2 linked regions of the Caenorhabditis elegans genome follow. The protein of the gene in region 2 purifies or fractionates together with the protein of the main gene of each other region. This does not show direct contact. Each region holds a gene or a part of one and is shown on either strand. Other genes may lie near its edges.

Region 1 (3,326 bases), on a different chromosome or scaffold from region 2:
TTCAGGTAGTTGGTGGCTAATCCTTAAATACTAATTTCTGAATTTTCAGACTGGTGTGGCTACTAGTGTTACAAGTCAATGGGAAGTTCCTGGCGTCGAAGGTCCTCAAGTACTCGTTCAAGGAAATCAAATTCATTTTATCGCTGATCTTCTGATAAAATCGTATGGAATCGACAAGAAATTTATGAAAGGAACCGAGTTGGCGGTGAAAAAGAAGAAATAAGAAAATTTGGAGAAATTTGCAAATTCAAATAGTATTAAATCTGTTCAATGTATTCCCTCACACCTTAATTTTTTTGTTTTGAAATTCGGTCTTTCTTTATTTATTAAATACCCGTGTGTTTCTAAGTATGGGTTGTATTCGTATTTTCGGTTCCATAAAGATTCATGAAGAACTTTCTCTTATCGTTTTGAACATATCCGCTTGGTGAATTATCAGTGCCAATTTAAATATTACACATACGCGAACATTTTCGATTTTCGGGCAGAAAAAAAAGGTATTAGGTCTCGCCACGCTTTTTTTGTGAGATAAAAACGAGGGTGTGCCTTTAAAGAGTACTGTAAGTGTCGAGACCTGGTGCCGCATTTTGGACCCAAGATTTCGCGTCTGGGGGATAAATTGTTCTAAATTTTTAAGATGTTAATCCATTTTCAGATTAAATCAAAATGCCTTCAAAATACATGCAATTGGCGAAGGAAATCATCAAAAATTATGGAACCAAGGGTCAATTCGGATGTGTTTCCGGAGCAGGAAATGTGAGAGCAGTTCATGCGGAGGAAGGAAATCTACGAGTGGAATTTGAAGTTGAGAAAGATCAGTCAAACCATTTTAACACTCTTCACGGTGGATGTACATCTACGCTCATTGATATTTTCACTACTGGGGCTCTTCTTCTCACAAAACCAGCTAGGCCAGGAGTATCTGTTGATTTGCATGTTACGTACGTAAAGAGAGAAGAAAATTGTCGAATTTGATAGATTTTTAGATACCTGACCGCCGCTAAAATTGGTGAGACCCTTGTGCTCGACTCCACCGTCATCAAACAAGGAAAAACTCTTGCATTCACAAAGGTAAACTTTAAGAAAAGTTTTAAAAATATTATTTTTTTCCAGGCAGAACTCTACCGTAAAAGTGATAATGTAATGATTGCAACTGGAGTACATACCAAAGCATTCCCAACTGTGAAGAAAGCAAACTAATCAATATATTCCAAGACATGGAAATTTGCGATCCGTGCGCCAAAAATACGGTATCCGGTCTCGACACAAAATGTTTTGGTTAAATGAAAAAAGGTGTGCTTCTTTGATGAGTACTGTAATTTTAGACTCTCGTTGTTGTTGAAATTTCATTGATTTTTCAACAATTTCCCATCAATTTTCGATAAAAAAAACATTTATTAATTTATTTTAAAACTCCCATACATCAATTAAAACTTTTTTTTTTCAGAAAATCGCGAAAAAAAATCAAGAGTTGGAATTTCCAGTAAACTTTAATGGCGCACACACCTTTTCCCGTTATAAAAAAAGTTTTCGTGTCGAGACCGGCTACCGTGATTTCTGCCCAAAAATCGCAAAATTTCGTGTCTGGAATACCTCCTAAACATAATTCCTAGACACAATTTCTAATTTGATCGTTTTGAAAAACATTTCCCTTGTGTACAAAACTATTATTCCGCAATAAAATTGTAAAGAATTCTTGTTTTTTTTCCAATTTTCCATAAATACTCGTTTTAATCCGAGTACTCTGTACATGTTTTGATGGTAAGAGAATCCACGCAAGTCTACGTGGTTATGAGATTTTTGTTTTGAAACAAATATTTTTAAATCATATATTTTTTCTAAGATTGCTTGAAAATGGCATCAAAATACATGCAAATTGCGAAGGAAGTGATCAAAATGTTCGGGACAAAAGGACAATTCGGTTATGCGGCTGGAGCACGGAATGTGAGAGCAGTTCATGCGGAGGAAGGAAATCTACGAGTGGAATTCGAAGTTGAAAAGGATCAGACAAATCAATTCGAGACACTTCATGGTGGATGTACAGCAGCACTTATCGATTGTTTCACAACTGGTGCTCTTCTACTCACAAAGGAAGCGAGGCCTGGTGTTTCAGTGGATTTGCATATTACGTGAGTATCTATATCTAAATAGAGGTTTCCTAGATTATGCAATGATTTGAAACATATAAGTCTTGCGAACAAGTGCAATATTTAAGCCAAAATTCAGTGTGGGGTCCCACCACGACCGAAATGTTCTCAGCTACGGTACCAACGAACTTTTTCTAATGTTTTCTAATTTTTCCATTCCAACCTTTAATTTAAAACTACAGATTTATTGCAAAACCAACAAAAAAGAGAAATCTACCGTACTCACGAGTACGGTAACTGAAAAGTTTCGCTCATTCTAGTACCCCCATACCTATATTTTAGCTTTATAATCGTTCATTTTCGTAAACTAATAATGCCAGAAATTCAGGAGAAAATATTTATGATCATCGTAACTTCCAGATACTTGACAGCTGCAAACATCGGAGAAACTCTTGTACTCAACTCTACTGTCATCAAACAGGGGCGCTCTCTTGGATTCACTAAGGTATCATATTTTTTTATTCTTGAATATTTCTGATTACAAAAGTGTTTTATTTCAGGCAGAACTCTATCGTAAAAGGGACAATGCAATGATTGCTACTGGAGTCCACACCAAGGCGTTCCCAAAGTGATCGCTCACCATAAAATAAATAATGTTATATGCAAATTAAACTAGAATTATTTTACCATGTATTCCATTTCATTTCAGAAAATAAATATCTTTATCAATATATGTGTTTGTTTGCCATTAAAAAACACAAATATCGGAAGTGAGAGATCATTTGTTGTAAGGATAATGTGTTTTAAAGGCTCCGTATCACACGCCAACGCTCTGAGTTGATGCTCAGTGAAATACCAAAAGTGACGAAGAAGCTCAAAATTCATATTTTTTGGATGCAAATCATAGAAAGAAGTCTTATAAAAAATTCCATTAAAAAATTCCGAACATATCTTGCTGCGGTTATGTTGGAGGCAAGAAAAAAAAAAGAAATCATAATCGCCTTCGATCACTTTTTTTATACACATTGTTTATCATGAAAACTTATTCCAAAACAAGATACCAAAATTCACCACAAATATTCTAAAATTTTCAATTGCCTTATAACCAATGATGGCTGTTTCGAGAAGTTTGTACTTTTGAAGAATCCAATTTCAAGTTCCTCTTTTCCTTCGTCTAGATCCCGAGACACTTTCCACGTCGTTGGTGTTTTCTGGCAACTCTCATTTTTCAGTAAAATC
Region 2 (7,219 bases):
AATCAGGTTGCGTCAGACAAGTAACAAACTGTGATATCAGTATGCTTACAAATAACATTTTGCTCTCGGCGGCAAGTATATGCCAAGTTTAATCAAAATGAAAGACCAAGTAAAAAAATTTACAGCATGAACTAGTTCAGGGTTTAATCGGTAATAACAACACAAATTTGGTACGCGGGAAGACCTGTAAGGTGTTTGCATCGTTTTGTCTCATTCGGCCAATCAAATATAAAGGTCGTAGAAGTTTTAATTGGGGGAATCTTTGAGAGTGAAAAGAAGATGAAATTACGCGTGGCCTCAAAAAGTTTTTTTTTGATGGCAAGATGATTGGTGAACACAAACATTTGACTATCAGTGGATGTTACTTTGAAATATTATAAAAACTCAGCAAATGGCAATTTTCAAGATCATACCATGCAGAAGATCAAGACAGAAATCTGGGGATGAATCAGACAAAGTCGCCGAATTGATCCAAATTATGTTTCGCTGAACTTCAACTATTTTTTCTTGTGTTCTTAATCAGGGTTCCCAGAAAAATGATGGTCTAGACTCACGTACTAAGTTTATAGCATTCAAGTTTTGCATGTGTATTGTAGAAATAGACTTCTAACGTTTTAATGATAGACTACAAAAAAGGGTGGAAAATCTGGATATGGGTACTGTGTTAATAATCAACGTATTATTATTACTGTAGCTTTTGTCAATTCTACACTTTGCCTATCTACACATTGTATCTACACATCTACACATTGCAATTGCTTGCAAACGCCTTTTCATAAAACTGAAACGCAATTTTTTGTTAAAATTAAAAAAATTCTTAGGAAATATAGCAAATTCCTTGAAAGGTAAACACGTATTACTTGAAAATATTTCATTAATTGACACCAAACATTACATATGGATTATTGTCGTCAGTGGAAATTTTGTCCGAAAATTTTTATTGCAATCCAGATCATCATAAAACAGTCTAAATTTTCAAAGTTTTTTTTGAAAAAAAAATCATTAAACGTATGTTATCAAGTTTATACATAGTTTAGGCTCCTTGATAAATTAAGAGTAGTGTCGCTGTACAATGTTCCAGTACAAGTGTATAAGATTTAATTAGAATATTATTTTTTTAAATTTCTATTATTTTTCAAATCGACTACCAATTTTATGTGAGCAAAGCTGATTAATCACAACTTTTTGGCTGCAAATGAAAATACTTCAAAATTTATTTATTTAACATTATAGAAGTGGTTCCATACATTTTAACTACATTCGCTACTCACCATTTATGGTGCCTTGTTTTAAAAACACTCATTAACCCGTTTTCATATGTATTTTCAGCGTCTCGTTATGTTTACTGTGTGTTATAATTAACAATTCAATTTTTTGAATGGTGTTGTAAGATTTTAAAGATTTTGAACAAGAAAACAGAATAACCTTCCCCTAAATCATTTTTCATCATAAATCACGCCGACATGATATTCAGTCGGCTCATATCACCATTTTACACCCTTTTCAACTTTGTGCCTTTCTTGTCATGCTTTTCTCTTTACCCTCCACTCAATTTTTCTTTTTCTCTTCAGAAACAGTACATCTTAATAGGTGATAACATTGAATTACAGACAACCCGCATCAAAACTTGGTCTCCAACAGTGACACGTACTCTCATTCCTTTGCTCGCCTTCTGCGCTATCCGATTAGTGGAGCATGTAATGTACGAAAACGCTTACAAGAGGTGGTGGAAAAAGAAAGTGGAAATGATAAAATTTATGAGTGAAATATTTAAGCGAGTAGGAGAAGCACTATTAAGAACAGTGCGGTTCAACTTGATAAAGAGACGCAGCAAGAAATTGGTGAGGACACAGTCATCGAGCCAACGCACCTATTGCCCACCTCCATACTCCTCCTTCTTCTTCATTTCTTGCCTCAAATACCGCGACAGGCTCATTCCTCGTCAGTATCGCCACTATGGGCTACTCGGAGAGTCGCTCGGAGAGCGTTAGCTCGAAAGGTAACTGATTCATCATATAAAAGTTCAATAAAGCATAATACATTTATTAAGACGGTTAAGCCTGAATATTATACCACCCATGTAGTTTAATTTTTAAGATATTGTAACATTACACAGTATTTGAATGTTTTAATAGTTTGTTCAATTGTATTTCTCTCGAAATATGATTCGCATGTGGTCAATCATCCAGTCGCAGATTTTAAAGATCCACTTTCCAGTTAAGGCTGGGGTACCCCTCACGTTTTATACTCGTGACCCCTAGTTGCTAGCGACTACCATTAACAACTGGGCTCCTGTTGAAAACTGTAATCCAATAATTTTGTATTACTTATGAGTAACAAGAACCCTCAACTAATAAATCTAATATTAATGCAGATTTTGCAACACACTGTACGGAACAAAATAACTTACCTCCAGCATACCGAAACATCATTTCCAGATTGTTTTATTGTTTTGTAAAATACAATTCTTCTTAACAGCCGCTAAAACTAGTGATAATGGCATTTATCTAAAATTAGATGGATTATAACTAATCTTGCCGCGTGGGAAATTTTATCTATCAAAAAAAAAGGCGACAAGAGTAAATTTCAGAGTTTTTGATCGAAAATCGACAGAACGAGTTTTTCAGGCAAAACATCATACGGCCATGAACTCGAAACAGTACCACTACCGGAAAAGAAAATCTACACAACATGGCCTGATATGATCAGGCATTGGCCTAAAACAACACTGTGCATCGTGTCCAACGAATTCTGCGAACGATTCTCATACTATGGAATGAGAAGTGAGTTGCTTTATTTGTTAGGGTAAAAGTGTAAAGGATATAATAGATCCTTTAAACAGCCTTAAACATTTCTGATGTATCAATAATCTACAAAAAATATTTTTATTTGTACATATATTTTTAGTTTAGTTTAAGAGGTAAGGTGAAGAAAAAGTAGAGTTAAACCTTATTTTGATTTTCGGCCGGTGGGTGGACATTTTCAGATAAGGGTATTATCAACATTTACTTTAAGTACATGGTACTCAAAAAGTGAATTTCCTATCTACATGCCAGTATATTTAAAAATCGAAAGTTTTGACACATGAAATGCAAATAAGACATTTTTTCACCGATATCACTAAAAGGTCATAATCCGGTTATTACCATAATGATTATGACGTTGGCAGTACAGAAGATCAATTGAAACGTGACACGAAAAATTTGCAGCGGTCTTGACATTCTACCTGCTTAACGTACTAAAGTTCACCGACTCACAATCTACGATCTTCTTCAATGGATTTACTGTGCTTTGCTATACCACACCACTTCTCGGATCAATTGTTGCGGACGGATACATTGGAAAATTCTGGTATGTAATAATTGTTGTTTTGCACTCAATAACGACTTTTCAGGACAATCTTCTCTGTCTCAATTCTATACGCAATCGGACAAGTCGTGCTCGCTCTCGCTTCTACTAAGAATTTTCAATCTTCAGTTCACCCGTAAGTGATGCTTGTTCCAGTATTCGACGCATAAACTTATCATGCAACTTTTCCGTCTTTACGAATTCCTCTCGATTGAAACAAGGCATGATGATAAGAACTTCAACCGTGGCAACTTTTGCCCGACAGTGCACGCGCCACATTAAACATTAAAAAACTGAAACCGAACAAAATTAAAAAGGGTTCACAAGAAATAAACTGCTGAATTTTCAGATGGATGGATCTGTCTGGATTACTGATCATTGCGTTCGGTACCGGAGGAATCAAGCCATGTGTGTCTGCATTCGGAGGAGATCAATTCGAGTTAGGACAAGAAAGAATGCTCTCACTCTTCTTTTCCATGTTCTACTTTTCCATCAACGCAGGATCTATGATCTCTACTTTCATCTCTCCCATCTTCAGATGTAAACTTGACAATTCTTAAAACACTATTAGAGTACAATAATTTCAGCTCAACCATGCCTTGGACAAGATTCCTGCTACCCAATGGCTTTTGGTATTCCGGCTATTCTTATGATTGTTGCAACACGTGAGATAAAATATTCAAAAATCACATTGACTATTAAACTCTTACAGTGGTATTTATGGGAGGTTCATTTTGGTACAAGAAGAACCCACCAAAGGACAACGTGTTCGGAGAAGTATCTCGTCTTATGTTTGTAAGTTTTTGTTTTGTTTTATTTCTAAACTGCTTTGAAACCAAGATTAAATATTCAGAGAGCTGTTGGAAACAAAATGAAGTCAGGATCCACACCAAAGGAACACTGGCTCCTTCACTACCTTACTACTCACGACTGTGCTCTTGATGCAAAATGCCTCGAACTCCAAGCTGAGAAAAGAAACAAGAATCTGTGCCAAAAGAAAAAATTCATCGATGATGTCCGTTCCCTACTCCGTGTTCTTGTCATGTTCTTGCCAGTACCAATGTTCTGGGCACTTTACGATCAGCAAGGATCTGTCTGGCTCATTCAAGGTTTGTAAAGTTCTAGATAACAATTTAAAAATGATCAAATTGGGGAGTCAGCTGCAGAATTCCTTGTGGTGCACCCACTGGGTTTTAGCTTAAGCTACAATCAAGCCGGGGGGCTAAGTCAGCCGTTGATTAATCTAATTCCCAGCGTTGGCTTAGTGAACCTAGGAGTGCAATTTTGTGATTGCTAGCGACCACCACTACCGACTGAGACATCCCCGCTCTTCACATGTTAAAAATGTGTTTTTTCAGCTATTCAAATGGATTGTCGTCTTTCTGACACCCTTCTCCTTCTTCCGGATCAAATGCAGACATTGAACGCCGTGCTTATTCTTCTCTTTATCCCACTCTTTCAGGTCATCATCTACCCAGTCGCTGCCAAGTGTGTCCGACTTACGTGAGTTTTCATTGAAATAAAATTATTTGTGTATAATGAATTATTATATTTTAGACCTTTGAGAAAAATGGTCACTGGAGGGCTTCTCGCGTCACTTGCCTTTTTGATCACTGGATTTGTTCAACTTCAAGTCAATGTAATTTCAAATAAAATTGTTCCATAATTTATTAATTCTTTACAGACTACTCTTCCAACTCTCCCGGAAGAAGGAGAAGCATCAATTAGTTTCTGGAACCAGTTTGAAACTGATTGCACCATTACCGTTATGTCTGGAATTCACAAGAGAGTTCTTCCCCATGACAAGGTTTGAGATTCGAATTTGATTCTTTTCACTTTTAACTTTCTCCTCCTAAGTTCTAAACGAAAGATCATGCCATTTTAAGTGCTGATAAGAAAAAAGGAAGTCAGAAAAAGTTATCGTAAAATTATTTAATTTATTGCCTTTGTCATGAATTACTATACGTATTTACACAACAACGTTTCAGTATCTTCACGAAGATAAAAAGAACAAGTCTGGAATTTATAATCTTTTTACAACAAAATCCCCCGCAAAAGGTAATGGCGATTGGACTCTCACATATGACCTCAGCTATGACGGCGCTTGCGGAGATACATCAAAATTGGAGAAAACTGTTAAAGTGACTGCCAAGAGCAAGAAGATCATCTACGTTGGAGTCGGATCATTTGGATATTACCAAAACACAGCTAACACTGATAAGCCAACTGATGGAACTGGAGAATTCTCTATGGGGTAGGGGTGTTCATAACACGGAACAATGGTTAAATAATATATAAATTCCAGAATTGTCACTGTATTCAATTCTTCATACGGAGGAAACTTTGCCATGTGCCGTCAAAATACAAGCGACTTTGATGTTAACCATCCATGTAATCCAAGACATCCTGCTGACTTTTACTTCTGGGAAACCGATTATAATAGTCATACCGATGACAGAGATCAAAACGCTACAATTACTGGATCTCTTAGTTCCCAACCGGCTGTAACTTACAAGCAGAAATCTGTAAAGCCAGGATATTGGCAGTTGTACTACCTTTTGAATACACCAAAAGATGTAGACCGGCAGACTTACAACAAAACAGCAACACTCGTTGCTCCAACAAATTACGGTTTTCACAGAGTTAAGCAGGGAGGTGTGTTCATCTATGCATTGACCGGAACATACGAAAATCCAAAGATCCACGAGCTTCAAATTGTACAGTCCAATAGTGTGTCGATTCTTTGGCAGATTCCACAAATCGTTGTCATCACGGCAGCAGAAATTTTGTTCTCAATTACCGGATACGAATTTGCATATTCTCAGGTAATGTTAATAGTTAAAATTTATAATTTATAATGCTATTCTAACTGTAAATATTACAGTCTGCCCCATCAATGAAAGCTCTGGTACAAGCCCTCTGGCTCTTGACCACTGCTGCTGGAGATTCCATCATTGTAGTCATCACAATCCTTAACTTATTTGAAAATATGGCCGTCGAATTCTTTGTCTATGCTGCTGCGATGTTTGTAGTTATTGCCATCTTTGCTCTTCTCTCCATTTTCTATTATACTTACAATTATTATACAACTGATGAAGAGGACGGTGAAATTGGAGTTGATGATGAGGAAGAAATTGAGGATCACAATCCACGATATTCAATTGATAACAAAGGTTTCCATCCGGACGAAAAAGATACTTTCGATATGCATTTTTAATTAAATCCTAATATGTATAAATTTTCAATTTTGTTTTCCTAAACCTACTACTGTTGCTTTCCCTTATTGTGACATCGTGATAAAATTCGTTTTCACTTGAAAAAATAAATATTTCTAAAAACTTTGTTCATGTCCACTCTCACAACAACAGCCGAACTGCATCTTGATTCTGTCGTTTTGCGACCAAACACATTTCTTATTCCATTGCAAAAGTCTCTGAACTCAAAAATAGGAGCCAAATTTGAAAGTTGGCATGCGACGACCGGATGAGTATATCCGGTCTAAAGCTTTGTAAGCTAGTGGAGGACGGACAATAGCTTGTTGCCGGGGGCTCTCTCATTATCTGCTTTTTTTTGGATTTGCTCACGACACACTGGGCGACTAAATATGACGGATGAATTAACATCACCTTCTCTCAAATCTGGAAATGTTCTGGCTCTACTTAACACACTTTACACTTCCGGATTTGCAATGGCGTCCTCCAGCACTCCATTGCTCAAAGGTTTGACTCTTGGGCAAATAATTTTTTGTCATTTTAATTTTTTCACTTATAGGCAGAGTAGCAAGTTTTATTATCACGGTAATAGTCTTCAAACATTTTAATTAATCAATTAAATTTGATGAATTAAAACATTTCAGGGCGTTTTAAAATTT

Evidence for each region.
Region 1: the proteins of pept-1 (region 2) and C25H3.14 fractionate together in Caenorhabditis elegans (co-fractionation; one large-scale study listed by BioGRID). This does not show direct contact.

The regions. Positions count from the first base shown.
Region 1 is NC_003280.10:5,693,540-5,696,865, forward strand, and holds C25H3.14 (Acyl-coenzyme A thioesterase 13), read left to right. Parts: upstream 1-1,843; 5' UTR 1,844-1,854; coding exon 1,855-2,129; intron 2,130-2,507; coding exon 2,508-2,592; intron 2,593-2,647; coding exon 2,648-2,719; 3' UTR 2,720-2,819; downstream 2,820-3,326. Other genes in the region: eif-2D (SUI1 domain-containing protein), read left to right, coding at 1-5, 50-223; C25H3.3 (Acyl-coenzyme A thioesterase 13), read left to right, coding at 667-941, 987-1,071, 1,114-1,200; C25H3.10 (F-box domain-containing protein), read right to left, coding at 3,155-3,326.
Region 2 is NC_003284.9:6,455,077-6,462,295, forward strand, and holds pept-1 (Peptide transporter family 1), read left to right. Parts: upstream 1-1,795; 5' UTR 1,796-1,956; coding exon 1,957-1,999; intron 2,000-2,627; coding exon 2,628-2,783; intron 2,784-3,209; coding exon 3,210-3,351; intron 3,352-3,394; coding exon 3,395-3,484; intron 3,485-3,697; coding exon 3,698-3,888; intron 3,889-3,935; coding exon 3,936-4,013; intron 4,014-4,060; coding exon 4,061-4,143; intron 4,144-4,201; coding exon 4,202-4,457; intron 4,458-4,706; coding exon 4,707-4,851; intron 4,852-4,905; coding exon 4,906-4,987; intron 4,988-5,032; coding exon 5,033-5,155; intron 5,156-5,336; coding exon 5,337-5,602; intron 5,603-5,653; coding exon 5,654-6,173; intron 6,174-6,232; coding exon 6,233-6,565; 3' UTR 6,566-6,691; downstream 6,692-7,219. Other genes in the region: Zinc metalloproteinase nas-33, read right to left, coding at 1-58; K04E7.1 (Serpentine Receptor, class BC (Class B-like)), read left to right, coding at 6,953-7,067. UniProt on the Caenorhabditis elegans protein: Low-affinity peptide transporter that is necessary for proton-dependent uptake of di- or tripeptides, and to a minor extent tetrapeptides, in the intestine. Transport is independent of sodium and chloride ions.